Linked DNA regions of Callithrix jacchus. The main gene of each other region encodes a partner of the protein of the gene in region 4 in a complex. Links are inferred from orthologs where the notes say so. Each region holds a gene or a part of one and is shown on either strand. Other genes may lie near its edges.

Region 1 (4,746 bases), on a different chromosome or scaffold from region 4:
CAGGGGTTTTAGTATCCGTGGGATCCTAGAACTAATCTCCCAAGGATACTAAGGGGTGACTGTATATGCCGTAACAGGAGTGGGAGAAGGACAAGACAGGATACAGCAAAAAATAAGACATGCTTTCATGAAGACTAAATACTAGATAGGCAAGCAACAAGGAAGCAAATAAATTAAGCTCATTACAGATCGTGAAAGAGGCTGGGAGGGCAATAATTGGAGTCCTATGATAGAAAGTATCTGGGAAGAACCACCTTAGGATGTTCGAGGAGTGTCTGACATGAGATTTGAAGAAATCTAAGAAATTAGCCCTGACAAAAGCCATGGGTGGGAGGAGGGGTCACTCTAGGCAGAAGGAACATCAAAGGAAAAGACTCAAGAAATAACTTGGCATATTTGAGGAAGAGAAAGGAGGCCAATAAGGTGGGTATCTGGCAAGGAAACAAGTGGTAGGAGAAACAGGAGAGGTAGCAAGAGCCAAAACATGTAGCATCTTGCAGGCCAGGTTAAGCCAACTGGATTTTAAGCTAAGAGCAATGGGAAGCCAAGGAGAGTTTAAAATAGGAACACGGCATGATTAAAAAAAGAAAAAAAAGATTATTTGGGTTGCTGGATGGAGAACTGGGAGGCCAATAAAGAGGAAACTGCAGTCACTCAACTGAAAGGTGATGGTGGCTTGGACAGGGGCCATGGCCATGGAAATGAAGTGGACAAATTTAAGATACAGTCCGAGGCTGAACTGACTGGATTTGCTGATGGACTGATGTGTGCACATAAGAAAAAGGCAGGCTTTGCTTTATAACAAGTACTGAGACTGGAAAAACGGAGGAAAGGATAGATTTAAAGGGGAAAACCATGAGCTCCGCTTTGCCTGTGACAAACATAAGAAGCCTATCCGATATTCACGTGGGGAAGTCAGGTGGGATCCCACTGTGGAACTCCGGGTGAGACTCCGCTTAAGTGACCATTCGGGAGTCACCACACTGCATCACTCTACGTCCTGGTCCGTCTGTCTGCCTTCCTGGGACCCAAATAACTGCCTTCTCCACTTTCAGCCCTGAGCATCTGCGCTGTATCCTCTGGGCAACCCGGAGCGGAAAAACGCTACGCATGAGCTTGGGTCGGGCGAGGCTCCCGAGGAATCGCTCTGCGTGCGGAGGACAAAGGGACAGGGACAGAGCGGAGGGCCGGACGCGGCCTGCCGAGCTGCTCCCGCGGCCGCCGTCACGTCCCCGCGGCGTGGAAGACGCGCAGTAAACTGCATCCTGTCTCCACGTCTGGCCTCCCACCCCAGCCTCCCGGCCTCCTCCGCCCTGCTGCGGCGTCTCCCGCTAAGCCCGCTGGGCCTCGCTCTCACCCTCCTCCTCCTCCTCACGCCGGGCCTTGCTCTTGCCCTTGGACTTCTGGCTGCGCGGTTGGCGTCCCCGCGGCTCCCCGCCGGCCGCGCGCTTCCGAGCCATGTTGTTCTTCGGGGCAAAATCCACTTCGTGAGTGACGCACCTGGCCGCTGTGCACCAGAGCGCGGGCTCCGCCCACAGGCGGGCGCGTCTAGCCCTGTCCCTTAGTTGGAGGCCTAGCCACGCCCCCGAAGGAAGCTCCGGCGATACCCGTGGCCACCAAAAACCACAGGAAGCAGGAAGGAGAAAAACAGATTTCTCTCTACTTCCGGTGTATTATATCCTCCTGTTTCCGGAGATCCGCGTTGCTCTTGTGTTCTCGCGAGAAGCGGGAAAGAGCGCAGGGTTTGAAACATGGCGGACGACGTAGACCAGGTGAGTGTACTTTAAGGGGGTCGCTTCGAGCAGCTTCGCGTACTAGGGCTGGTTTTCCCAAACTTAGGAAAAATGGCCAGTCGTGTCTCCTCCTTCCAGGTCACCATGGTCCAATCCGCCCCGTCCTTTCCGTAACCGCCCCCTGCTCCGAATTTTGCTGCAGGCCCTGAGATCTTTTCCGGTTAGAAGCCCACCTGACTACTATTCATCACACTCTTCAATTCATTTTTTTAAATCTGTAAATTATTATCCTTGCCTGCCTCACGGAGCTGTTAGGATTCCAATAGAAAGCCTGATGATGAAGTTAGAAGTTCATATCATTACTGAGCGCAACCATTATTTATTCATTTAGCATATTTAGTGAAATTCAGCTTTGTATGGTTAGACACTATTCTAAGGGCCAGGGACACTGACATCGACATAGAAGTGATCCCTGCCATTACTTGGAGCTTATATTCGTGAGGAGAACAGATAAAAGTAAATATAAATATGTAGGAGACATAGGAACTGTGATGTGATGTGAAGGAAACAAGGAACTAGTTTGCAGAATAACAGATGGCCCTAGAAGCTTTTTCACCTTGTCTTTCTCTTCCTCAAATATCTTTGGAGATCAAGCCACAAATTCTTAAGCTTTCTACTGAAATCTCACCTCCTCAGAGAGGACTTCTCCTGCGCCAGTAGCACACGCTTTACTCTTCTTACCCTGCTTCATTTTTCTTCAGAGCGCATTATTATTTCGTATTAAATATATGCATCTGTTTTTAATGTATAACCCTTCCCACTAGAATTTAAGTGCCATAAGAGCAGGTTTTTTGTTTTGTTCTTTCTTCTGTCCTTAGGGTTTAGAACAGTGCTGGAAACACTCAACAAATATTTACTTAATGAGGCCTCTTTGAAAAGTCAATATTTAAAGCTACAGTGGGCATCGTAGACAGAGGCTTAGGTAGCAGTAGGGTTCTGTCGTGTGCATATTTTGACAGTATTTAATTATTTATTTGTATGCCTCTCCACATTACAATGAGCTCCTTGAGAGTGGAGATTGTGACTTCTATATCGTTATAATCTAACAGTTGGTTATCTGATCCTTTAACAAACACCTGTTGAACTAGGGAAGTAGGGATCAGTCGAGTCAGGGTTTTGTTTTTTCTCTCATCTGACCTTTTGAAGCTTTAGAGCCTGTTGCATTCAGTCACCTTCCTCCACTGGCCTCATGTACTTAATGAAGATCTACTTGAATAGTCTTTCTCTTAATGGCTGCAACCATTCGACCCCAAGTCATCCTAGCCCTGACCTCTAAAACCGACGTTTCCAGCAGTTCTTTAATAATACTAATAGGAACCATTTCTTTTCTTTTTCCTTTTTTTTTTTTTTGGACAGAATCTCACTCTGTCATCCAGGCTGGAGTGCAGTGGCACAATAGATCTCAGCTCACAGCAACTTCCACCTCCTCAAGCGATTCTCCTATCTCAGCCTCCCGAGTAGTTGGGACTACAGGCGCGTGCCACCATGCCTGGCTAATTTTTCTGGTTTTTTTTTTTTTTTTTTTTTTTTTTTGAGACGGAGTTTCGCTCTTGTTACCCAGGCTGGAGTGCAATGGCGCGATCTCAGCTCACCGCAACCTCCGCCTCCTGGGATCAGGCAATTCTCCTGCCTCAGCCTCCCGAGTAGCTGGGAATACAGGCACGCGCCACCATGCCTGTAAGTTTTTGTATTTTTAGTAGAGACGGGGTTTCACCATGTTGACCAGAATGGTCTCAATCTCTTGACCTCGTGATCCACCCGCCTCGGCCTCCCAAAGTGCTGGGATTACAGGCGTGAGCCACCGCTCCCGGCCAATTTTTCTGTTTTTAGTAGAGATGGGGTTTCGCCATGTTGGCCAGGCTGGTCTCAACTCCTGACCTCAGGTGATCCGCCTGTCTCAGCCTCCCAAAGTACTGGGATTCAGGCGTGAGCCACCATGCCCAGCCAGTAGGAACCGTTTATTACTATTTTCTGTTTACCTGGCACTGTTGTAAATACATTAACTACTTTAAACTTCTCAAGAACCCAGAAGGAAGGTTGTGGCCTCCTCAATTACAAATGAAGAATCAGAATTACAGATGGCATGATTTTTAATCTTAGTTCATTAGAGTCAGGTCACAGCCAGGAGTTGAACCCAGACTGCCTGACTCCAAAACCAGTGCTTTCTTTTTTCAAGACAGAGTCTCACTCTGTTGCCAAAGCTGGAGTGCAGTAGCACGATCTTGGCTCACTGCAACCTCCGACTCCTAGGCTCAAGCCATCCTCCCCCCTCAGCCTCTGAATAGCTGGGACCACAGGCATGTGCCACTGTGCCTGGCTAAGCCAGTGCTTTCAACCAGCGTTTTATACTGTCTACTAAATATATTCATCTTACTGGCCAGTTGGCAGCCTAAACTCAACCTGTGCTAAATTCATAATCTTCCCATTAACCTACACCTCTACTTAGCATTCTGACTAGTGTATGGTAGACATTGAGTGAGTGTTTTTCCAACGATTACATAATATTTGAGATAAAGCTAAAGTCCCTGAGAGCCCATACCCTGAAATTGGGTCAGGCAGTTTGATTTTGAGGGAACAAAGAATAGTCATGATTATTTTGCTGTGTAACTCCTTTTTGTGTATGTGTGTTTTAACCTACATTTATGTAGCACATATTATATGAAAGGCACTGTTCTAAGCCGTCATAGATATCACTTAAGCCTCACAACAACAGTATTAGGTAGACACTGTTATCTCCATTTTATAGCTTAGGAGACTGAAGCAGAGAAAGGTTAACTTGCTCGTGGTCACACAGCTTAACAGTGATTTAAGCAGGTCTCTATCTCTAGTACTGCCTTCCTTAACTTGTTTGTTTTATCAGCAACAAACTACCAACACTGTAGAGGAGCCCCTGGATCTTATCCGGCTCAGCCTAGATGAGCGAATTTATGTGAAAATGAGAAATGACCGAGAG
Region 2 (4,787 bases), on a different chromosome or scaffold from region 4:
AAATACAGAAAATTAGCCGGGCATGGTGGCAAGCACCTGTAATTCCAGCTACTCCAGAGGCTGAGGCAGGAGAATCACTTGAATCCAGGTGATGGAGGTTGCAGTGAGCCAAGACTATGCCACTGCACTCCAGAGTGAGACTCCATCTCAAAAAAAAAAACAAAAACACATCCTCCCTCCCTCTCCCCCTTTCTTTCTTTCTTTCTTTCTTTCTTTCTTTCTTTCTTTCTCTCTTCTCTTCTCCTCTCTCTCTCTCTCTCTCTCTCTTTTTTTTCTTTCGAGTGTTACTCTGTCACGCAGGCTGGAGTGCAGTGGCATGATCTCAGCTCACTGCAACCTCCAACTCCTGGGTTCAAGCAATTCTCCTCTCTCACCCTCCCGACAGGTTCAGGCAATTCTCCTGTCTCACCCTCCTGAGTAGTTGGGACTACAGGTGCCCACCACCATGCCTGGCTAATTTTCTGTATTTTTAGTAGAGACAGGGTTTCATCATGTTAGCCAGGATGGTCTCGATCTCCTGACCTTGTGATCTACCCGCCTCAGCCTCCCAAAGTGCTGGGATTACAGGCAAGAGCCACCACACCCAGCCCCCACCATTTTTTTTTTTAAGACGGAGTCTCACTCTGTCACCCAGGCTGGAGTGAAGTGGCATGATCTCGGCTCACTGCAACCTCTGCCTCCCAGGTTCAAGCGATTCTCCTGTCTCAGCCTCCCGAGTAGCTGGGGATTACAGGCACACGTCACACACCCAGCTAATTTTTTATATTTTTGGTAGAGATGGGGTTTCACCATGTTGGCCAGTCTGGTCTTGAACTCCTGACCTCAAGTGATCCACCTGCCTCGGCCTCCCAAAGTGCTGGGATAACAGGCATGAGCCACTGTGCCTGGCCAAAATTCTCCTTTTCTTGAAACACTAAGTAACATCTCCGGAATACCAGTGTTCCTTAGAATACACATTGGAGAACTTTTTTTTTTGAGACGGAGTTTAGCTCTTGTTACCCAGGCTGGAGTGCAATGGCGCGATCTCGGCTCACCGCAACCTCCGCCTCCTGGGTTCAGGCAATTCTCCTGCCTCAGCCTCCTGAGTAGCTGGGATTACAGGCACACGCCACCATGCCCAGCTAACTTTTTGTATTTTTAGTAGAGACCGGGTTTCACCATGTTGACCATGATGGTCTCGATCTCTTGACCTCATGATCCACCCGCCTCGGCCTCCCAAAGTGCTGGGATTACAGGCTTGAGCCACGCGCCTGGCCTCACATTGGAGAACTTTTAGAGCCATCTTTCTCCTTCTGAGCCTTCCGACCTCTGGCTTTCCCCTCCCATACCTGTACTTCCGGCGGCAGCAACTGTTATAGTCGGGGGCTCTGTGCAGAGCACTCTGGGTGATAAGTCGTGTCTGGGTTAGCAGAGGAGCCTGATAAGGAGATGGGAGACAGAGTCAGAGGCTTCAGCCCTCTTCCCTTCCAGCCTGGTGTGTGCAGCAGGGTCTTGACTAGAATACACTCTCCATTCTGATTACCTCAGCTTTGGTTTCTTCCCTTCTCAATTCATTCTGATGTCTTGGATTCTGCTTCCTCTCCTTTCCTGGCTGCTTCTTGCCATAGAAAAGCTGCAAGCCTGAGGAGAAAGGGAAACAAGACTAAAAGCATAGCACCAAGAGCGGTGTGCAGAAATTTCGAGGGTTTATTCCCCATACCCTGTCTTTCCCCAAACTTACTGGATAGATGTTTCTTGCCTGCTCGGTGGGCAGTCAGCATAGCCAGGGTGTCCAGTACTGGTCGATGGGGGCAGATGGCACAAGCAAAACTGAGCAGGGGGAGAGAAGAGGATAATTGGTCCAGGGGAAGAGGGTGGGGCCAGTCCCTACAGTAAGTCCCACCCTGTCCTAGCAGTCCTTTCCAAAGCCCAACTCCAGGTCATCCAATCCCCACTTCTTCCGATCCTCACTTCCGGCCAAGGAATCCTAGATACTCCTGCTGTCCTGATTAATAACAAAAGTTTGGGGCCGGGCGCCGTGGCTCATGCTTATAATCCCAGCCCTTTGGGAGGCCGAGGCGGGTGGATCACGAGGTCAAGAGTTCGAGACCATCCTGGTCAACATGGTGAAACCCCGTCTCTACTAAAAATACAAAAAAATTAGCTGGGCATGGTGGCACGTGCCTGTAATCCCAGCTACTCAGGAGGCTGAGGCAGGAGAATTGGCTGAACCCAGGAGGCGGAGGTTGCGGTGAGCCGAGATTGCGCCATTGCACTCCAGCCTGGGTAACAAGAGCGAAACTCCGTCTCAAAAGAAAAAAAAAATTAGCTGGGCATGATGGTGCGTGCCTGTAGTCCCAGCTACTCGGGAGGCTGAGGCAGGAGAATTGCTTGAACCCAGAAGGCGGAGGTTGCGGTGAGCCGAGTTCGTGCCATTGCACTCCAGTCTGGGTAACAACAGCGAAACTCCGTCTCAATCAATCAATCAATCAATCAATAAAGTTTGTTGAAGCCGGGCATGGTCGCGCCCGCCTGTAATCCCAGCTACTCGCGACGCTGAGGAAGCAAGATCACTTGAGCCCTAGAGTTTGAGGACAGCCTGGGCAACACAGAGAGACCTCTATCTTTTGTTTGTTGAGCCTCTAACCATAGAACCCTCAGGCTTGGGCCACTCCTCGCTCTTACCGTCCATCCCGAAGCATCAGCGCCTCATCCTCTGGGATGTAACTGGCTAGCAGATCCCCGACTCTTCTTTTCTGCAGGGAGAAGGGGAAAAAATCCGGACGGCATCAGCAGATAGGAGAAACGGATGGAAGTGAAATGAGAGAAATGAGGAGTCAAATGGAATAAGGACCCTGGGGAGAATAGTGATCATAGACCGAAAAAGGTGTCACTACCCAGCTCTAAGTCGCCTCTTTCTCTCCCGCACCCCCGAGCTGTTGCCAGTGCAACAAAACAAAGCTCCTTCCCAACCTTCAGAGAGCGACTGAAGCTGCCCTGGATCCTCTCTGCTCACGCTTACTTTGAGAACATTGAGTTGACTCCAATCGTCTCCTTCCCTCTTGAAAGACATCACGACTGTGAGTCCCAGAAATGATAAATTCTCTTGTTCCGGTTTCTCAACTCCTCCAGGCCACCGTAGCAAGAGTGGGACAACTCTTTCTCTGTTTTCAGTCTCTTCCTGTCGGCCTCCGTACTTCCGGGGATGCGCTTCCACACAGGCTTTGCGCGTCCGGAAATCTACTCGCTGGTGCACGGAGGGAACTGCATTTCCTATGGTGCCCTGCGACACTGCAGACGCCGAGCCTTTTGGGAAATGAAGTCTTTTCTCAAAGAGCTTGCCGCTCTGCTGGATCCAGGCCCTCGCATCCTGGCGGATCTGCGGCATTTGGAGGGACAAGAAGCTAGATGTGGAGCCGAAATGTGAGGGTGTGACCTCTCTGATGAGTGGAAGGTGTACTACAGACTCTCGCAATCTTCGCGCTCTTCATCTGCGGCGACAGTTCACCTGGGGTGGGCTGATTTGTTTCTGACCCTAGCGGACGAACCCCGGGACCGGGCAGACCCGGGATGCGAGAGCCCCCAGAGGCCAGGCTACCGGACTTGGGGGCAAACTGAGGAAAGACTGTTGAGGATTATTTCTAGAGGTCAAAGGTCAGAGGTCAATGTAGCGAGGAGTTGTGGGGGGTTCACAGTCGGTGGGGTGCTTAGGGGAGAGATTCAGGGAGGGACTGAATACTCAAGGGACAGATTTGTGGATAACAAGCTTGGAGAGAGGAGAAACCGGGAGGGGGCAGGTGGCGTAGTGCCGGGGAGGCGGGGACACAGGGGAAGAGAGAAGGGGAAAGGAATCCCTTGAATATCCATTCCCAGACTTAAGGCCTGTCACCCTTAGTCTCGGCCGGGCCTTCCCCAGTTGCAACCCTACCTGTCGTTAGGGTGAAGAGATGGCTTCCCCGTCTAGACAGCCCCCCCCAGGGGGGTCAGGACTTCTTCAAGGGAGCCGGGCTCGTTCATATGGAAGCCTCGTGCAATCGGCCTGCTCCCCAGTGAGGGAGAGACGCCTGGAGCATCACTTGGAGCCTGGAGACACCCTGGCTGGACTAGCACTCAAATATGGGGTGACGGTGAGTTTTCCAGGATTGGGGTGCAGACAACAGTCAGGAGGGATTTAGTCCTGAGAAGAATGTAGTGGCCTTTCTAGGTAAACTCCTCTGAAAAGTTCCTAAAGTGTTACACCTGTTCTGCCTTTATCTTTGTTTTCCCATCACAGTGTTGCACTGCCGGGTTGGGACAAGTCCTGTCCTACTATTCCAATGGAGAGGAACAGCTCCAATTTTACTATGCCAGACACTGTGCTGGGGGCTTCACATACATTAGCTCATGTCACCCTCACACCCTATCAAGTACATTTATTGTTTCCTTTTGGCAGATGAAGAAACTGAGACTTGGATTGGTTAACCAGTTTGACTAAGGTCAAATAATGAGTGTCAGATTTGGGATTCAAACAGGTCTATCTGACGCTATTAACCACACAGAAACATTTTCTTTTCATTTCTTTTTTTTTTTTGAGGCGGAGTTTCGCTCTGTTGTCCAGGCTGGAGTGCAATGGCGGATCTTGGCTCACTGCAATCTCTGCCTCCCAGGTTCAATAATTCTCAGCCTCAGCCTCCCGAGAAGCTGGGATTACATTACAGGTGCCTGCTGCCACACCTGGCTAATTTTTGTATTTTTAGTAGAGTCACGGTTTCACCATGTTGGCCAGGCTGGTCTTGAACTCCTGACTTCATGATCCACCCGCCTCAGCC
Region 3 (3,168 bases), on a different chromosome or scaffold from region 4:
TAAAGGCTTTGATGGTGTACAGAGGGGAGCCTGGAATGGGTGCATCCTGAGTCACGTGCCCCCTGCGACAAAAAAATAAAGGCCGAGTCTCTAGTTATACAAAGGCCAAAAGACAAGAAGCAATCTGCCATTGGCTGTTCCCAAATGCATCCCAGCCCAGAGTTACCATCAAAGAAAGAGTAACCAAGAATGTTATACAGAGCAGAAAAAGCTCGGGGCTCTCAGTGTAATTTCCTGTGGTCTTGAGTTGTTGTTTTTTTTTTTTATTTTTATTTTGGAGAAGCAGTTTTGCTCTTGTTGTCCAGGCTGGAGTGCAATGGCATGATCTTGGCTCACCACAACCTCTGCCTCCTGGGTTCAAGCGATTCTTCTGCCTCAGCCTCCCAAGTAGCTGGGATTACAAGCATGTGCCACCACACCCGGCTAATTTTTTATTTTTAGTAGAGATGGGGTTTCTCCATGTTGGTCAGGCTGGTCTTGAACGCCTGACCTCAGGTGATCCACCCACCTCAGGTTCCCAAAGTGCTGGAATTACTGGCATGAGCGACTGCGCCCAGCCTAATTCCCTGTGGAAGTCAAAGTGGCAGCAACCTCCGGAGAGGACAGGAGTGGGACAGTGATGGGACACGAGTCCAAAGACATTCCCATCACTGACTTGCCTCAGGACTTCCTCCAAGAGCTCTCTGAGGAGGGGACTCCCAAAAGAAACATCAAATTTTAATCTGAAGAAAAGCTGGGGTTTGCCTCACTCTTTTCCTACTTCCTTCTGGAAAATCAGCTCGCAGGGTTTCCAGAGTGAAGAGGGAAGGGGAGGCCAACCCCTTCTCCCTGTAGGAGCCAAGGTGCCTCGTGGTCTGCTCTTGCTCTCAGCACTCTCCCTAATATACTTGGGGCTGCTCACCTGCGCCTGGCCAGGACCGTATAAACAGCAGAGACGCAATCTGCAGGCGCCTGGACCTCTACAAAGTAGTAAGGCTCCATCAGACGAGGAGTGGCCTGCAGCAGAGTGAGAAGGGCCCTCAGCTTGGGGAAGGCTGGGGGCCTGCAGTCCCAGTTGCTCCTCCTCTTAGTGTCCTGTCCAGTGAAGCAGATCGTCCCCTATAGCCTCATTCTCTTACCATGAGGAAGGCAGAGTAGACAACTCTCCTGGCTGTGGGGATGATCTGGCCCCCGCCACGGTGCAGGGGCTCCTGGGCAACCACTGCATCCAGAATCTTAAACTTGACATTCCGAATCACTGTAAAGGAGGTGGGGCAGCTAAATGGAGAGAGGTTCTGGGCCCGCCATGGGGCCATGGCAGAGTAGCATTTGTCTTGCAGTCATGAAAGACATGGTACAGAAAACACACGGGAGGTAGCTGCTCTAACTGAATAAGCAAGGCCCATGGCAAAGAGGTCAGAAGTTAAGCAAATGCTCTTAGGGTTTGCTTCAGGCCATGCTCAAACACAGAGCTTTCCTGGAAGTTTATTTCCTTCTGCAGATTTTACATTTTTATGGACGTAGAATAAATCCCTGTACATTTGGTCCCATAAAGCCCAATCAGGGTCTATAAACCACTCCAATCTCATCATCTCCTTGATATTTCTCCTCAAATATGTCCAGGGCGAAATGCTTCTCAGAAATGAGGAGCAAATAACAGTTTAGAAATGACTTAAATTCCCAGGCTATACCACATGGTTGTACCAGGATAAGGAGGGAGAAGGAAAGAAGCTGGCCCAGGACATGGGACAATCCTGTGTAGCCCAGGCTGCTTCTCCTGCCCAGTCCTAAAGATGGTGAGCCCATCCTACTCTTAAGCCTGGCTGAAGGACCCTTGAGGACTGGGGTGGGGGAGTGCTGGTGGACTTACACTCATCACAAAGGGGGCCCTCCCTGGTTCCCCACTGGAAACCTTGAACGATGCTGTCCTTCACTGAGCCAAGAAGAGCCTTGTCAACCTACAGAGAAACATGAGGCCTCCTTAGCAGTCACCTTGACAACAGCTGAAGCATTTAGAGGAAGGAGAAGATAGATAAACCTGTAAGAGGATATTGTCCTTCACAAGAGGACACAAAATACTTTTTGGAAATAAACACTTTGTAGTTTCTTCCACTCAAGAGGTAAGAGACCGCCACCCAGTTCCCATCAGTTCTGCTGTACCTCGGAGGGTAGAGTATCATCCACTAGAATGTTGGGGCCAGTGGCATCAGGGCCAAAAGCCCAGATGGAACGGGCAGCCAGCAGATCCCAATCATACTTGGTCTGGAAGAACTCTCCTAGCTTCTTCCTGGGGAAAGGAGGAGACAATGGAGCTGTCGGCCAGCTCTGTGATTGCTGGTCCTGGAGCCACAGACCCTCCCTTCCTAGGAGACAGTCACCTCATTCTACCCACTGTGCCCAGGACAAGAGCAAAGGCAAAGATAAATGCTTCCAAGAAAGATGTGTGCTCTCAGAGACCCAGCAGGTAAGCTGTGGCATCCCTGCTTCCTTTTGACCCTGGCATCAGAGTCCTGTTCTCACCTGTTCCATGTAATCTGGACCACCTCATTCTCTATGTCCTCTGCCAGGCCCTTCTCAAGAGGCTCAGCAATCATGGTGATCTTGTTCCTGGTCAGAATGGAAATGGGTGGTGAGGAGGGCTAACAGAATAGCAGAAGAGGCATTAATAAAAAAAGGGTTACAAGATGGACAGCTGAGGAAGTAAAATCAGTGAAAACATGGGTTTCAAGTGTGGTGGCTCAGACCTGTAATCCCAGCACTTTGAGAAGCCAAGGCGGGAGAATCACTTAAACTCAGGAATTTAAGGCTACAGTGAGCATTTAATTTAAGGCTCTCACCACTGCATTCCAGCCTGGGTGACACAGCAAGATACTGCCTCTTAAAAACAAACACAAAAATACGAACAGCCTGGGCAACAAAGCAACAGACCCCAGCTCTATAAAAAATTAGTCAGGTGTGGTTAGCACACCTGCAGTCCTAGCTACTTGGGGGGCTAAGGTGGGAGGATCGCTTGAGCTGGGGAGGTTGAGGCTGCAGTGAGCCATGATGGCACTACTGTAATCCAGCCTGGATGAGAGAGAGAGAGACCCTATCTCAAGGGAAAAAAAAAACAACACAGGATCAGGGCAAGGGAGAGCAAAAAAGGACAAGCACTTATCTTCTTTCTTTCATTTGAATCTCCTGGTCTTT
Region 4 (4,101 bases):
TGGCTACTAAATGGAGCCTCATCTCTCTGCTCATACAGACCTTGGAGTTGTCCCAAAGAGCAAGAGAAGAGAGCTCACCCACCAGCTGACAGGACCACAGCAAAGGGCTGGGAGGCACAGATGGCTCAGGCAGAAGTCAGTGGGCCTGGGCACACTCACTGCCAAGGGCCTTGCAGTGCACACCCACAAGGTGTATCTTTTGCTAGAGAAGATGGTGACAATGAGGGTGGCCCTTCCCTGAGGAAGCAGAAAGAGCAATAGTTCTAGCCATAAAGCCAGAATTTCTGAAAACTCTTCCTTCACCAGGACAAAAGGTACAGAGCTTTTGGTTCTATCTTCTCACAGCTGCCTCTTGCCTGGGAAGGGCAAGGAGATACTCTGATTAGTTTTTTTGGGGGGGAGGGCATTTCAAAGGATTACACACTATTATTACATCTTTAAACTTGAGCTTTCATCCATGGTTCTTGGCTCATAATTCCTGTAGACCTTGTTATAGTATTTTGTTATAACATTGGGGCACTTTAGGCCTCAGAAGCAGGACTCAGGAAACAGAATCTCTCTTGAAACTTCTCCTGCCCTCCTTCCACCCGCCCAAGGCAGGACCCTAATCTGATTGTGGGTCACAAGACCTCACTCCAGAGAAAGGTCATGTCCTATGCCCTGGAGGAAGAAATGCTGCAGAGAGGCCAAAAAAGAATCTGGACAGGCCTTGTAGGGTTTCCTCATCCTGTCTATTAGTATTAGATCACACCCTCTTGTCTAATTGCATTTCCACATGGTTGTCCATCCTTCAATCATGTCTATCCAATGAAGTCTCTATAAAAAGACCCAAGAGGACAGGCTTAGGGGAGCTTTGGGACAGCTGACCACGTGGAGCCCGACAGGAAGGTGAACAAGAACTCATCCAAGTGCCAGGAGGAAACTCCATGCGGACAGAGCTCTCGTGCTTGGGACCCTTCCAGATTTCACCCTATGCATGCATCTCTTCATGTGGCTGTTTATTTGCAGCCTATAAAATATCCTTTGTGGCCAGGCGTGGTGGCTCACCTGAGGCCAGGAGTTCGAAACCAGCCTGACCAACATGGAGAAACCGCCTCTAAGAATACTATAAAAAAAAAATAGCCGGGCGTGGTGGCGCATTCCTATAATCCCAGCTACTCGGAGGTTGAGGCAGAAAAATCACTGGAACCCAGGAGACGGAGGTTGCAATGAACCGAAATTGCGCCATAGCACTCCAGCCTGGGCAACAAGAGCAAAAAACACCTCCGCCGTCTCAAAAGAAAAAATCCTTTGTTGTAAATCAGTAAACTTAAGTATGTGATTCCTACTCCAGCAAATTCACTGAACCTAAGGAGGGAGATGTGAGAACCCTGATTTGAAGCCATTCAGATGTTCTGGAGGACCGTACTTAGGGATAGTGGGGAATGGAGGGGCAGTCTTATGGGACCAGGCCCTCAACCAGTGGCTTCTCAGGCTATCTCTAGACAGATAATGTCAGATCTGAAAAACACCCAGCTCGTGTCTACTGCAGAACTGACTGCTTGCTTGGTCACACAAGTCTTCTTTGTTGCTTGCTGTGTTGTAAGAGCAGAGGAAAAACAGTTTGACTTTTTTTCCTATATAAAACATGTATAGCAGCTAAAGATACCAATGGAGAATCCAGTGCCTTCCCTGCCTGCAAACTATTTTTTTTTCAACCAACACTAAGACAGTTTCTAAGGGCTGCAAATACTTTGTTACCTGATCCACATGGCAGAACTTCTCAGGAACCTAAATATAAAACCAAATTAAGCTAACCAAGAAGCAAGGCCAGACTAGGAAACTGGGAAAAGGACCGTCCTACTTTTGGAATGTACTAAAGGAAGGCTTTATTTCTGAAAATGGAAGTCCACTGTCAGATCTCCCTAAGTACATGCTCAGTGTCTATCCACATTACCCAGTCTCCCTAGAAAATGCTGCCCTCACGCGTCATGAGTCAGCTCATCTGCTCTGTGCTGTGACTGCTCAGCAAGATAGACAAGGGCAAGCCATCCCAGACTCTTGCACAGAACTTGTAAAAAAGAAGGGCCTCTCCAGGCACGGTGGCTCACGCTGGTAATCCCAGCACTTTGGGAAGCCAAGGCAGGTGGATCATTTGAGGTCAGGAGTTCAAGGCCAGCCCGACCAACACGGTGAAACCTCATCTCTACTAAAAATACACACACAAACAAAATTAAATTAAAAATAAAAAATGCCAGGCGTGGTGGATCACAAGGCCAAGAGATCGAGACCATCCTGGTCAATGTGGTGAAACCCCGTCTCTACTAAAAATACAAAAAAAAAAAAAAAAAAAAAAAAAAAAAAAAAATTAGCTGGGCATGGTGGCGTGTGCCTGTGGTCCCAGCTGCTTGGGAGGCTGAGGCAGGAGAATTGCTTGAACCCAGGAGGCGGAGACTGCAGTGAGCCAAGATCGCGCTATTGCACTCCAGCCTGGGTAACAAAGAGCGAAACTCCGTCTCAAAAAAAATAAATAAATAAAATAAAAAATAAAAAATTAGCTGGGCATGGGAGTGCATGCCTATAATCTTAGCTACTTGGAAGGCTGAGGCAGAATTGCTTGAACCCGGGAGGCAGAGGTTGCAATGGGCAGAGATCAAGCTACTGCACTCCAGCTTGGGTAACAAAGCAAGACTCTGTCTCAAAAAAATATAAAAAATTACAATAAAAAAAAGGGCCCCCTAGAAATTTATTATAGATTTATCAACTCTTTCATTGAACACAGGAATACTGTCTTCTTAAGACAATTATTAAGACAGCATTCCTATCTTCAGTGAAAGAGTTGATAAATCTCCTATAATGAATTCTTTTTCTTTGGATTTTATGTAAGCCCTGTTACTGGGATCCAATGCAGCAAGACAGAGAAGGCCAGGCAAGGCCTCATGGCCTCACAGGATCTCTCCATGTTGCAAGGGGAAGGGGTGGCAGTGGGTGTGGAGAGAGCAGGGGTCAAGCCCACTTCATCCCCAGGCAGTTAACAAGGCCCCTTTCTATAAGACACAAGACAAACCTGTATTTTAAAACCTGTGCATGAAGAGCACCTACCTTGGGCCTTGAGAATAGCAGCTTTTCCTCGGCCAGCCCCTGAGCCTTGGTTTTTATTTTTCATGCTCTTTAACATGGGTGCATTCTTCAGCATGTCAGGCAAAATCAGAAAGCGAATTTTGCTGCCACGGATGTATACCTGCTCCAGCTGTGCCACTCGGCCATCTCTGTATGTGACTGTGATGTTGGACATCTGGAAGGAAATCACCAGCTAATCAGCTAACAGTCAACAGCACCAGTGGTGGGGAGGGCCTTGACTGTTGGGAGGGTTAAGTCCTGAAAAGCAGATTGACATTGTGACAAAGCTGGTGAATTACTCAGCAATGGTCAGTACTAACTGTGTATATCAGGGACTGCACTGAGCACTTTACCTGAATAGTCCTCACAACACCTCCAGCGTGGGTATGAGTGTTCCCATTTTTATGGGTTAAAAAAAAAACCAAAGCAGTTATCCAAGGTCAAACAGCTGGAATGCAGGGAACTCCAGATTTGAACCAGCTGGTCTAGCTTCAAAGCCCTAGCTGTGCTGTACTGCCTGCTGAGCAAACGTGAAGAGCTCTTGAAGGTGCTAGACCTGACTAAAACAGCTTCAAACTGCTGGTCCAAACCGTGTCTTCCCCTGCATTGCCTGGCAGTCAGATTTCAAAGGCACCACAAAGGTCACGAGTGTATACCAGATGCAGTTCTGACCCTCCAGAGTGCATACTCTAGAAGGTGAGACAGAACCCTCTAGCTTGAGTGACTAGGGACTGAGATATGGAGGACACCCAGCGTGCACAGGTACCACAAGGCCTATATAGAGGGCCTGAGATTACAAGGAAAAGAGCAGGCACTTGGGCAGAAGCCTACAGGATGCAAGGACCAGAGGAGTCAAATAATGACCCTGGACAGGGCTGTTATTTCAGATAAGGGGTCACTCAAGTTTGTCGAAAGAGGAAAGATCAACAGGGTTAAGGCAGCACTTAGGACCTAAGATAAATGTGTCAACATGGATAGACTGCAGGTTGGACAAATGGGGAG
Region 5 (4,715 bases), on a different chromosome or scaffold from region 4:
TTCCCACCAGCTAACCCATTCTCCAGAAGTTAATATGTCCCAAGGCCAAGGCAGCCCATACCCTGATTTTGGTATCTGTTCTCTGGGAAAGACTTACTAACTTGACTATATATAGTAAAGCCTTGCTTTAATCCATGCTTAGAGTTTGCACTTTGTTATAGGCATTCAAATGTCTCTTCCAATGTCCACTGGGGAATGTATATACTGAGAAAAAGTATAAGTCTGGGAGTTTGCTAAAACTAGTATGCTCTGTGGCTTAATTGTTCTACCATCTTCCCATGTTCGGATAAACAGAAAAGCAGGGAAATTCAACAAGGAAGCCTTCAAAGTTATCAGTGGGATCAGATGTATTACCAATAGCCACTACTTTCTTGAACTAGCTCCAGGTACCATGAACAAATGATGACCAAGTCAGGGATATGACAGGTAGTACAAAATTCCATCTAAATACAGGTGGACAATAAATTGAAAATATTATTCAAGTTAAGGCATGGGCATATGAAATATAAAATGTGTCACTGTGTTGTCTTTTGGGTGGTCTCAGGTACAAGCCACTGTAGGTCGCTCAACAATGTACGAGCACTGGGAAGGAAAGCTAACTTCTTTTTTTTTTCTTGAGACAAAGTCTCATTTTGTCCTCTAAGCTACAGGGCAGTGGAGTGATGTCAGCTCACTGCAACCTCTGCCTCCAGGGTTCGAGTGATTCTTGTGCCTCAGCCTGCCTAGTAACTGGGGCTACAAGCTAATACTTTTTGTATTTTTAGTGGAGATGGGGTTTCACCATGTTGACCAGGCTGGTCTCTAACTTCTGACCTCAAGTGATCCACCCTCCTCAGCCTCCCAAAGTGCTGGGAATACAGGTGTGAGTCATCGCGCCCCACCAGGAGTGTTAACTTCTAAAAATTCAGCAGCTGGGAAAGCTAACAGAGCTAAGAAAGCTGGCTTACAAAAAACAATTAAGTAGTCTAGGAAGTGTCAGAACTTCAAAAAGTGAGTGAAGATAACCTATCCAAAGCATAATAATAAATACTAGCTGGCCACGGATCAAATACTTTGGAGCAAGGAGGGCATCAAACCTGATTCTGAGGGCAGGGGAAGGACTAACCATAGTATGTCCCTAAAGGATGGGCTAAATCACAAGTTCTCAAACTAACTGGCATGAGAATCACTGAAATGCTTTGGAAAAACAAACAAACAAAAATAAAATCGTTGGGCCTCCATTTCCACGTTTCTGATTCAACAGAACTGGGGTGAAGCCCAGTAATTTGCATTGCTAACAAGCTTCAAGGAGATGATGCTGCTGATTCAGAACACATTTTTGGAAGCACGAGACCAGGATATTAGATCAAAGTTCTTGGCCTTTAACTTATAACCAAGACAGTCTCAGAGCCGCAGTCAACTGAGTTGGGAAAGACTCCATAAAAGTGACATGGACACTTAAAACTGGAAGGACATTTAAGGTGGAAAGGCAACATTCAGAACCAGAGAACAAGAATAGAGGCACAGAGAGAACTCATCAACTATATCATCGTAGTAATTTACAATAATATAAAGCGAACACAGTGTATCCGGCACTGTGCTGAGTGCCTCATCAGCATTAGTTTTCTTTAAACTCCAAAAAAGACAATCCAATGAGGCAGATGAGGTAATAACACAATACCTGCCTCATTGGATTGTTTTCAGATGATGAAGCTGACACTAAAGACCTTAGATAACTTGCTTCATGTGACAGACCTAATAATTGCTGAATAAAATTGAAATATTTGGTCTATCAGGCCCAACACAAGTGAGTTTCCTCCTCCTACTGATACTGCCTGTTACAATGCTTATCCTGGTCAAAACCACACTTTGAATGCAAATTTTCAATCTGCCCTTCCATAGTAGGATAATTTATGTTAACTTGAATTTCCAAGCAATCCTAAATACAGGTAAGAGTTAGGTTAACTGATCTGCTGAGGACAAAGTTTGCTTGTTTATCTATTTGGAGTCTCTGCACACTTAAAAATGCAAAAAAAACGCTTAGCGAATTCTTGCATCTAAAATAGCCTTTCTCCAAATCCTGCCTTCTCCACTTACCTCAAAAGAATTGTGAAGATTAAGTAGAAACAGGTACCGCGGTTTCTGCAGTTAAACTCAGTGAAATTAACTATTATATTTCCATTACATAATGCTGCACTGTAGGACCCAAGGCTCGTTAGAGAGGTGGAGCCTGGAAAGCCAAGTTTGGCAGTTACTACCTCACTAGAGCTGGATAAAGTATGACAGATAGATGAAGAGAACACAGGAGAAATGAAGCGTCTTCGAGACTAAACGCTAGAACTTATCAGTATTTACAGGACAAATAAATGAAGAAGAAACCACTAATGAAATTTCACACAAATAGTCAAAAGGATTTAAGGCCGGAAAAGACATAAGAGTGCAAGCACTTCAACTTTTAATCAACTACAGCTCATTAATCCCACTCCCTTGGCGCGGGGATCTGGGCACTAGTAAAGGGGCTTTCCCAAGCCCAACTGACTCCAGAGGCTCTAAGTACAAAACACACTGTACACGAAACAACAGCACCAGGATTGGTGCAGGACTTCAGATAGCTCCAAGAACCTCACAAGGAAGGTCGGCCGGTCTGCGCAGGCAGTGAGTGAGTTAACACAGCCCATTCCCTCACCACCGGCTCGGACTCCTCGGCCCCAGCCGCTCTCACACCCCCCTCGCGGGCCAGTGCCCGGCGGAAAGAGAGCCACGCGCACTCCAATGATGCTCACAGCTGTACCAGTGAGCCCGCACCCACTCCTGGGCCTCTTTCACTTCCCACCCGATCCAGCGACCCGCCACCCCCTCTCCGGTTCGCTGCCTGCGGGGACTCCACCGACTTCAGATAATTACCTAGAGCTCCACCGCGCCGCCATTACACCGGACGTACGTCACTTCCTTTTCCCGACCACCGACAGTAGGAAGAATGCGGATAGTGAAATACATAAAAACTTGAGGCTCAATCGGCTTGACACGTTATCCTTTTAATTTATTTCAAATAGCATATCATAATACCAGAGTCAAAGTGGTCGACCCAGGCACACTGTCTTCTTATCAAAATGGCGACAAAAAAGAGAAGTTGACATGACCTACAAAGTCCGAAATCCAGCGCCTAAGTTGACGGAAATGACGAAAGCGGAATTGTAGTTTAGCATGGAATGGCGCGGTGTAAGATGGGAATTGTAGTTCATACAGTTGGGCGCCTACGAGTAACATCCAAGGTGCTCACTGGCAGCCTAATAGTGTTTAGAGTCTAGCCGAATTTACTTTAATCTAAAACTATTTCTCTGCATTTAGGGGACATTTTTTTTAAAGCAGTCAGTTGTCACTTTTCCGTGAAAATATTAAGAGATTTTCCTGAGACTTTATAATAGAGTTTGACCAAGAGCCTAATAAGCAAAAATGTTACCAAATATTAAGTGCCTAATAAATTCCAAGACGTCCAGACCAAGAGAATGGGAGAATATTACATCATACATAGAGTAAATAATGAGGAAAAACTAATTCTGTAGAGAAGACGTTGCCTCTCTTTTAGGTTAAGGTACCAACTGGTATGAGCTGAGAGTAAGGAGACTGCCTGGCTGAGTGGGAAGCAGTTTGTACAGAGTGCAGAACTTGGGCATTGAACAAACTGTTTCTTTAAACTTCACTTTTCGCTAGTAACAAAACCTAAAACTTCAACTACTTGCTCTTTTGGAAACTCTCTTCCTCAAACAAGAATATCTTTATATTTTCAAACCTTTCATAAACCAGGCCTGGTTTTTCCACACACTTCTCTATTACAATTTTAGAGTGCTGTGCTTCCGCTCCTTTCTGGAGGCAGAGTGTGATGATTAAGAATAAAAACACTGCAGTTGGACCACATATGTTTGAGTCATGAGTTCTTTGATTATTTATGGATCACTGGGGCAAATAACTTCACATTCTGTGCCCATTACCTGATTTGTTAAATGGAAATACTAATATTACCCACCCATTAAGTAGTTTTTAGAATTGAATTAGTTGATTCACATAATGCATTTAAGATAATTGCTGGTATACAATAGTGTTAACTGTTTTATTTCATATTTAAGATATTTGGCCATTGTTCATGGCGCATTTTGGTGTACCAATACAGAGCACAGGAGACGGATCTGGAGATGAACATTTGTATTCATATATTTAAAAATCCACAATACTACCTGTGATGGTTAATTCTGAATTTCAACTTGATTGGATTGAAGGATGTAAAATATTGATCCTGGGTGTGTCTGTGAGTGTGTTGCCAGAGAAGATTAACATTTGAGTCAGTGGACTGGGAAAGACAGACCCAGCCTTAATCTAGTGGGCACAATCTAATCAGCTGCCAACAAATATAAAGCAGGCAGTAAAACATGAAAAGGTGAGACTAGGCGAGACTGGCCTAGCCTCCCAGTATACATCTTTCTCCCATGCTGGATGCTTCCTACCCTCAAACATTGGACTTCAGTTGTGAGATTCAGACTGGCTCTCCTAGCTTCACAAGCTTGCAGACAGCCTATTGTGGGACCTTGTGACCATGTAAGTTAATACTTAATAAACTCCCCTTTATATATATAATTAGTTCTGTCCCTCTAGGGAACCCTGATGAATACACTACCTCTACAACGATTAACAGAAATAGAAAAGATTGAGCAGAGAACTAGATGGAGCTGGAAAAGAATAGA
Region 6 (4,101 bases), on a different chromosome or scaffold from region 4:
TAGCAGCCAATTGTTACTGGAACTTGTGCCAAAGCATTCCCGTTGGTAATTTCAGGGTCTTCTATGAGAGAGATGGCAATTTTGTTTTTGATTTGCATTAAACATGCACTTATAAAAAAATTTAATTTGCAAGAGTTCCCAAAACTTAGCTATCTCTTTCATAGGTCTTAACTATAAAATCTGAAGTTTTAGGTATAATTAAAGTGATATAATTTGGCCAGGTGCAGTGGCTCATGCCTGTAATCCCAGCACTTTGGGAGGCCAAGGTGGGTGGATCACTTGAGGTCGGGAGTTTGAGACCATCCTGACCAACATGGAGAAACCCCATCTCTACTAAAAATTAGCCAGGCATCATGGCACATGCCTGTAATCCCAGCTACTCGGGAGGCTGAGGTTGCAGTAAGCCGATATCGTGCCATTGCATTCCAGCATGGGCAACGAGAGCGAAATTCCCTGTCAAAAAATAAAATAAAATAAAATGATATAATTCTACCCGCTGTTCTTCAGGTCTAAAGAGTACTGAACTTAAACCATCTCTACCTGATGTTTCCTCTTGGTTTATAGATAAACAATCTTCACCAGGCAGGGGACACCAGGCTATGGAGTGGATTTCATCATCATGGCCTCGAAGCCTATGAATAACTTCTCCTTTCTTACTGATGTCAATTATAACCACTATGCCATCTTTGTACCTAAAAAACAAGAATTAGAAATGTTACTCAAAAAATGAAGTCAGAACAGGGTCTCTAGTAAACATTTTGGCTTAGAGTTATCATTGGTGCATTCCTTAAAGTTAGGTGCATTCGGGGTGGTGGAGGAGGAAAGAACCAAAAATAATTTTGTTTTTCCCTTTTTTAAAAGTGCTCATCTTATGCTTCTTGGTTTTGTTAAAACCTTCCTCTCTATGATCAAACTCTTGGCATTAGGTAATACTGTGTATGTTGCCTGGTACAAAGCTCACAGTGGAGCATGATTTTGTTCTAAGGGAACTTTTATAGTTTTTGCAAGGGTCCAGCAACTTTTTTTTTTCTGCTCTCTGTTGCCCAGGCTGGACTGCAGTGGCACAATCACCACTTACTACAGCCTTGACTTCCCTGGCCCAAGCAATCCTGCCATCTCAGCCTCCCAGAGTAGCTGAGACTATAGGTATGTGCCATGCCAGGCTAACTTTTATATTTTTTTTGTACTGATGGGTTTCACTATGTTGCTCATGGCTGGTTTTGAACGCTGGGCTCAGGCAATCCACTTGTTTCACCATGTTGCTCATGGCTGGTCTTGAACACCTGGGCTCAAGCAATCCACGCCTCCCAAAGTGATGGGATTACAGGTGTGACCCACCACACCTGACCAACTCTTCTAATTGAGATAACCGTGTCCTAGTCCACTGGAAAATCATCTTTATTTTATAAGTGATACTACTTTTTAAACTGTGAACTTAACAAAAGTTACAGAATTCTATACTCTAGACCTCCATATTCCAAGGCTGTCAGTTTATGAATCAGAAGAAACTGAGAAATTCTAATAGCTTTTTGAAAATAAATTATTTCAGACACATAAGAAAGTAATCTACCACCCTGCCTAAGAAAAATAATGACCAATAGAGCTGAAGTCCTCTGTACATTCCACCTCCATCAAACCTCTCTCCTTGCCAGATCTCTTCTTCTCTTCTTTTACCAGAGGCCAAACACTTTTTGTGAATTGTGTGTTATATCATTCCTAGCCTTTCTTTGTATATATTCCTAAATAAGATACAGAGTTTATAAGTTTTAAAACTTCATATATATGCTATCACCTATTTTCCTGCAGCTTGTTTTTTTCACTCATTCTGTTTGTAAGTCATCCATGCTGATACACGTAACTCTACTTCCTGGCCAGTCATTACACTATTGTATTAGTACCTCACTGTGTGAATGTACCAAAGTTTATTTATTTTCCTTTGAAGGGCTTCCCTATTTTACAAGAAAAAGATACTTTTAATGTGCATGTATACATCTAAGACAATTTCAGGTTTCATGTCTCATAATGAAACTGCCAGGATGTTAAGATATATGCATCTTTATAAAAAGTACAAGCGGGTGCAGTGGCTCCAGCCTGTAATCCCAGGACTTTCGGAGGCCGAGGTGGACAGACACAAGGTCAAGAGATCGAGACCATCCTGACCAACATGCTGAAACCTTGTCTCTACCAAAAATACAAAAATTAGCCGGGCGTGGTAGTGCTCGCCTGTAGTCCCAGCTACTCGGGAGGCTGAGGCAGGAGAATTGCTTGAACCCGGGAGATGGAGGTTGCACTGAGCCAAGATTGCGCCACTGTACTCCAGCCTGGCGACAGAGTGAGACACTGTCTCAAAAAAACCCCACAAAACTGCATTCTACAAAGTGGTTCTATCTATTCACACTTCCTACACATTAGAGCATTTGACAGGGAAAAATGCCAGTACAGCTTTATTTTTTAAAAAAGAAAAATAAATACTAGAGTATTCCAATCTTTGAAGACCAGGACTTTGAAAACCACCAAGTTATGCAATCTGATTGTCAACAGATCAAGCTATTTAGAAATTTGAATCAAACTTTCTGGGAATAATACTCTTCTGAAGATCCTCCCCTGACTGCTGCCTACTACCTTTCTGTTCATTTCCTCTAGCACCCCTACTGCCAATACTGCTCCCCCTTCACAAGACGGCCGATCCAGTCCCCTTCCATTTTCACTATCACTTACCAACACCAGTCTTTCTATACTTCCCCTCACCCCATGCAGCACCGCTTTCATGATCCATCCCTATCATCAACTTTTTTTTTTTTTACAAGTCTTGCTTTATCACCCAGGCTGAGGTGCAGTGGTGCAATCTCGGCCCACTGCAACCTCTGCCTTCCATATTCAAGCAGTTCTCCTGCCTCACCCTCCTGAGTAGCTGGAATTACAGGTATGCGCCACCACACCTGGCTATTTTTTTTTTTTTTTGAGATAAGAGTTTCACTCTTGTCGCCTAGGCTGGAGTGCAATGGCGCATCTAGGCTTACTGCAACCTCCGCCTCCTGGGGTCAAGTGATTCTCCAGCCTCAGCTTCCCAAATAGCTGGGATTACAGGCATGCACCATCATGCCTGGCTAATTTTGTAGTTTTAGTAGAGATGGGGTCTCTCCACATTGGTCAGGCTGGTCTTGAACTCTCAACCTCAGGTCACCCACCAACCTTGGCCTCCCAAAGCGTTGGGATTACACGTTTGAGCCACTGCACCTGGACTTATTATCAACTTTAAAAAATATCATTACAGCCCCTGTCTCCTCCCTCAAGAGTATTTACTCCACAAAGCCCCAAACCTGGCTGAATCCAACCATCTCCTTTCTCAAACAGTTTGGGTTTACTTAAAATTTATAGCCACAATTCTTTGTTTGGCACAACAGTGAACACTGGGCCTACAATTTCCCTTAGTATATTCATTTTCCTATTCTCTTTGACTGTTTTCATACCTTCTTCCCATAACCAGTTTCGACCCCATGCTGAATCTGATTCTACCACTCTGACTTATAGCTCACTGAGAAAATCAGAAATCCCAGAATGGAATACCTTGTTCTTCCAAACACATCTACAAACGTACCTGTACCTATTTCTATATTCCCTGCTATTCTTTCTTCTTGTCATCTGAGTCCAGTCCCCTCTTGACTTTTCACCATCACTCCTGCAACAAGCTCTCCCTCTTTTCAAGCCTTACTTCCATCAGCATAAAAACAGGTCCCTGGTATCTACCATTTAATATTCCCTTGACCTCATCTATCCCCTCTGGCTTCATGTCTATGCACACTTTTACAACAAACTTTGTGAAAGGGTTGTTTCTTTTTATACCTCTATTACATTAGTCCCCAGTCTTTCAAATTCACTCCAATCAGAATTTCGCCTTCAACATTCTAGAGAAATTGCTTAAGTCTTCAAATTAGAGAAAATGGACATCTTTCAGTGAGAAGTACATAAATGGTGAAGGAAAGGGGGATGTCCATCCTGGTAGATCATTGTGAAACAACCTTGTTGATCAATGGGGAAATGGATCCCAATGTCACACTGCTTTCCCAATCTAGACGGAGTGCTCAGAACCAGACAAACTGA
Region 7 (2,802 bases), on a different chromosome or scaffold from region 4:
GATCTTGGCTCACTGCAACCTCCTCCTCCCAGGTTCAAGTGATTCTCCTGCCTCAGCCTCCTGAGTAGCTGGGATTACAGGAGCCTGCCACCATGCCTGACTAATTTTGTATTTTTAGTAGAGATGGGGTTTCTCCATGTTGGTCAGGCTGGTCTCAAACTCCTGACCTCAGGTGATTCGCCCGCCTCAGCCTCCCAAAATGCAGGAATTACAGGGATGAGCCACTGTGCCTGGCCAATAGCATTTCTTAATGTCCCTGTCTGTTTATGCTAAGCCAGACAAGTAAACAGAATCATAAAGATGTCTCAGATAATATCATGGCTAAGTTGCACCCAAGCAGTCTCATATTCTATTTGAGTTGAGTTTAATGCAGCATTCTGACCAATGTCATTTCTACAAGCTGAGATTGCCCCAAATTTGGCTGCTTTCAAGAGCCTGAGTTTAGAGAATGCTGCTCAGAACAGTTCTTTTGGCAGGGGACAGAGTAAACAGAGGCTCTGATCATTAAAGATCAGGTATAAGTAAACAAAACAGGTTATTTATCACCTCTTGGCTGCTCTGCTTCTAGTAGGAAAAAAGTATTTGTTACTGATGAATAATTATTCTGTCATTGTCACGGAAATGAGTAAACCTAAAAACACAGAAAAGTGGAAAAAAACCCCCAAGGGAACAGCTTCTTGGACTTTTAAGTGAATGGTAACCTGTGGCCACATCATGCTCTACTCTGATTTTTAGCAATCAAGCCTCAAAAAAAAAAAAAGACAGCAATAAATCCAATCCACATGGCTCTTGTAAAAAGGCATCTATTTGGCTTTTAATACAAAATGACTTAAGAGAAATACAGAGAGAAAATATCATACAAGCTAGTTACTTAAAAAAAAAAAAATTTCAACCAACAAATTTGTCACATTGGGCCTGCATTAGAAAACAGAAAACAAGAAAAAGAAAACAAATAAAACAGTCCCTGAAATCTGGCATGTGGTTTTTAGAAGCCATGGGGAGCTTGCCTTAGTCATCCTGGTGAAACGGGACAGAAGTGGTTTTTGGAATACGGCCACCGCCTCCTCTGTTTCTTGCTAGTAATGGTCATCTGAAGGGAGGGTGCTAGCCCGGGCAGCCAACATTTGACGTCACTTATGCAGTCTGAGGTCTTAAACACAAGCAGCCTTGGAATCTTCTATTCCATATCTTCACTGAATCTCTCCCATATACAGTCTCTTGTCACTCGATGCTGAGATAACTGAGGTAAAAAGAACAGAGCAGATAACTAGAAATAATGAAGGCTCAAGGAGACTTGGTACTCAAGGGCACTTGTGTCAAGAGCCAATTTTGGTATAAAAGAGCAATTGGATTTAGCTTAAATTCCTCTCCTCAACACCATCCACAAGAAATGGTAGCCTTGCTTTTCAATCCAAGTCCTCTAATATCATGAGGATGACTGTACTGTGGGAAATACGTTATCAGGCTCTAAATACTGATGTCCGCTGTCAGTCAATCCCCAAGAAAAAGACTTTCCCAGTCATTCAAGAAGAGAATATCTATGTCTGGACCAGTCATTTTGTAAATGTGCTTCTGCTTGTTACATTTAGCCCTGGAGAAAGTTACAGTTTGTCCTTTAATTCACGGCTTAAATTATTTGGTTTAGCCAGCAAAAAAATTTTAAGCTGAAATTTATAACTAAATATTAAGAAGTATCATTCTTTTAACCAAATACATCATTGAAACAGACTTGGTGGAAGTAAATTTAAAAAAACTAGACTTACCAACTTCCCTTTGAGGTCAAGAAGAAAATGGAACATTGCTCTTACCCTCACCACTTATGACCAATGGTGAGCCTCACTGATACCCATATAAAGACTGTTTGCGGCTGGGTGCAGCAGTTCATGCCTGTAATCCCAGCACTTTGGGAGGCTGAGGCGGGTGGATTACTTGAGGTCAGGAGTTCATAACCAGCCTAACATGGTGAAACCTCACCTCTACTAAAAATTAGTTGGGCATGGTGGTGGGTACCTGTAATCCCAGCTACTTGGGAGACTAAGACAGGAGAATAGCTTGAAACTGGGAGGTGGAGGTTGCAGTGAACAGAGCTCGCACCACTGCACTCCAGCCTGGGTGACACAGCAAGACTCCGTCTCAAAAAAAAAAAAAAAAAAAAAGGCTGTTTGAATGGAAATTCAAATAAAACAGATACCCACTTTTGACTCTGTATTCCCAGGATCCCTAAGTGGGGGTTTCCAGTTTCCTTTTCCCCCCTTGTCGGGACAGACTTACTGATGGGCTCGTCAGGGTGGAAAGCGACTTCATTGATGGAGCCAGCATGGCCAGGCAGCTTATACAATATTCTCCTGCTTGTAGTATCCCACACATACACAAACCTGTAAGGTATCATGAAAAGCAAGGATAAGGCCTTCTAGAACTGCGGGTAGGGCAGAGGCATGGCTATTCAAAGGAAATGAAAGCAACTATTATTTACTTACCTTACATTTACTGAACCATGTTCTGGCTTTTAGAAACTAGGAATAGAGAGTTTGAGTAAGACATGGACTTAGCTCTTGAGCAATGGGGTGGAGAAATAAAAAATATAAGTAGTACTGGCACGTTCGAGTATAAGCTTCTGAAACGGGAAACACCATAGGGAAGAAAATAGTTTTTCCTCCAGACATCACACAAAAACCTTTTTTTTTTTTTTGAGACAGAGTTTCACTCTTGTTACTCAGGCTGGAGTGCAATGGCGCGATCTCGGCTCACCGCAACCTCCGCCTCCTGGGTTCAGGCAATTTTCCTGCCTCAGCCTCCTGAGTA

The links.
Region 1: SNRPD3 (region 4) and LSM3 share a complex: the UniProt entries of both Homo sapiens proteins name them as parts of the U4/U6-U5 tri-snRNP complex. The link is inferred for Callithrix jacchus from reciprocal best matches to the Homo sapiens genes SNRPD3 and LSM3.
Region 2: SNRPD3 (region 4) and SCNM1 share a complex: the UniProt entries of both Homo sapiens proteins name them as parts of the minor spliceosome. The link is inferred for Callithrix jacchus from reciprocal best matches to the Homo sapiens genes SNRPD3 and SCNM1.
Region 3: SNRPD3 (region 4) and EFTUD2 share a complex: the UniProt entries of both Homo sapiens proteins name them as parts of the minor spliceosome. The link is inferred for Callithrix jacchus from reciprocal best matches to the Homo sapiens genes SNRPD3 and EFTUD2.
Region 5: SNRPD3 (region 4) and CWC22 share a complex: the UniProt entries of both Homo sapiens proteins name them as parts of the minor spliceosome. The link is inferred for Callithrix jacchus from reciprocal best matches to the Homo sapiens genes SNRPD3 and CWC22.
Region 6: SNRPD3 (region 4) and GEMIN5 share a complex: the UniProt entries of both Homo sapiens proteins name them as parts of the SMN-Sm complex. The link is inferred for Callithrix jacchus from reciprocal best matches to the Homo sapiens genes SNRPD3 and GEMIN5.
Region 7: SNRPD3 (region 4) and SNRNP40 share a complex: the UniProt entries of both Homo sapiens proteins name them as parts of the U4/U6-U5 tri-snRNP complex. The link is inferred for Callithrix jacchus from reciprocal best matches to the Homo sapiens genes SNRPD3 and SNRNP40.

Annotation. Positions count from the first base shown.
Region 1 is NC_133516.1:71,157,239-71,161,984, forward strand, and holds the start of LSM3 (U6 snRNA-associated Sm-like protein LSm3), read left to right. Parts: upstream 1-1,710; 5' UTR 1,711-1,751; coding exon 1,752-1,772; intron 1,773-4,653; coding exon 4,654-4,746. Other genes in the region: XPC (DNA repair protein complementing XP-C cells), read right to left, coding at 1,358-1,460. UniProt on the Homo sapiens protein: Plays a role in pre-mRNA splicing as component of the U4/U6-U5 tri-snRNP complex that is involved in spliceosome assembly, and as component of the precatalytic spliceosome (spliceosome B complex).
Region 2 is NC_133519.1:11,058,570-11,063,356, reverse strand, and holds the start of SCNM1 (sodium channel modifier 1), read right to left. Parts: upstream 3,115-4,787; 5' UTR 3,053-3,114; coding exon 3,002-3,052; intron 2,736-3,001; coding exon 2,665-2,735; intron 1,810-2,664; coding exon 1,721-1,809; intron 1,621-1,720; coding exon 1,523-1,620; intron 1,418-1,522; coding exon 1,329-1,417; intron 1-1,328. Other genes in the region: LYSMD1 (lysM and putative peptidoglycan-binding domain-containing protein 1), read left to right, coding at 3,927-4,106. UniProt on the Homo sapiens protein: As a component of the minor spliceosome, involved in the splicing of U12-type introns in pre-mRNAs. Plays a role in the regulation of primary cilia length and Hedgehog signaling.
Region 3 is NC_133506.1:85,261,928-85,265,095, forward strand, and holds part of EFTUD2 (116 kDa U5 small nuclear ribonucleoprotein component), read right to left. Parts: intron 2,587-3,168; coding exon 2,500-2,586; intron 2,267-2,499; coding exon 2,140-2,266; intron 1,938-2,139; coding exon 1,850-1,937; intron 1,238-1,849; coding exon 1,119-1,237; intron 997-1,118; coding exon 902-996; intron 63-901; coding exon 1-62. UniProt on the Homo sapiens protein: Required for pre-mRNA splicing as component of the spliceosome, including pre-catalytic, catalytic and post-catalytic spliceosomal complexes. Component of the U5 snRNP and the U4/U6-U5 tri-snRNP complex, a building block of the spliceosome.
Region 4 is NC_133502.1:195,120,784-195,124,884, reverse strand, and holds part of SNRPD3 (small nuclear ribonucleoprotein Sm D3), read right to left. Parts: intron 3,275-4,101; coding exon 3,082-3,274; intron 1-3,081. UniProt on the Homo sapiens protein: Plays a role in pre-mRNA splicing as a core component of the spliceosomal U1, U2, U4 and U5 small nuclear ribonucleoproteins (snRNPs), the building blocks of the spliceosome.
Region 5 is NC_133507.1:49,008,230-49,012,944, reverse strand, and holds the start of CWC22 (pre-mRNA-splicing factor CWC22 homolog), read right to left. Parts: upstream 3,095-4,715; 5' UTR 2,884-3,094; exon of another isoform or gene 2,077-2,883; intron 1-2,076. UniProt on the Homo sapiens protein: Required for pre-mRNA splicing as component of the spliceosome. As a component of the minor spliceosome, involved in the splicing of U12-type introns in pre-mRNAs. Promotes exon-junction complex (EJC) assembly.
Region 6 is NC_133503.1:54,144,319-54,148,419, forward strand, and holds part of GEMIN5 (gem-associated protein 5), read right to left. Parts: intron 693-4,101; coding exon 541-692; intron 62-540; coding exon 1-61. UniProt on the Homo sapiens protein: The SMN complex catalyzes the assembly of small nuclear ribonucleoproteins (snRNPs), the building blocks of the spliceosome, and thereby plays an important role in the splicing of cellular pre-mRNAs.
Region 7 is NC_133508.1:67,890,993-67,893,794, forward strand, and holds the end of SNRNP40 (U5 small nuclear ribonucleoprotein 40 kDa protein), read right to left. Parts: intron 2,376-2,802; coding exon 2,272-2,375; intron 1,241-2,271; coding exon 1,191-1,240; 3' UTR 788-1,190; downstream 1-787. UniProt on the Homo sapiens protein: Required for pre-mRNA splicing as component of the activated spliceosome. Component of the U5 small nuclear ribonucleoprotein (snRNP) complex and the U4/U6-U5 tri-snRNP complex, building blocks of the spliceosome.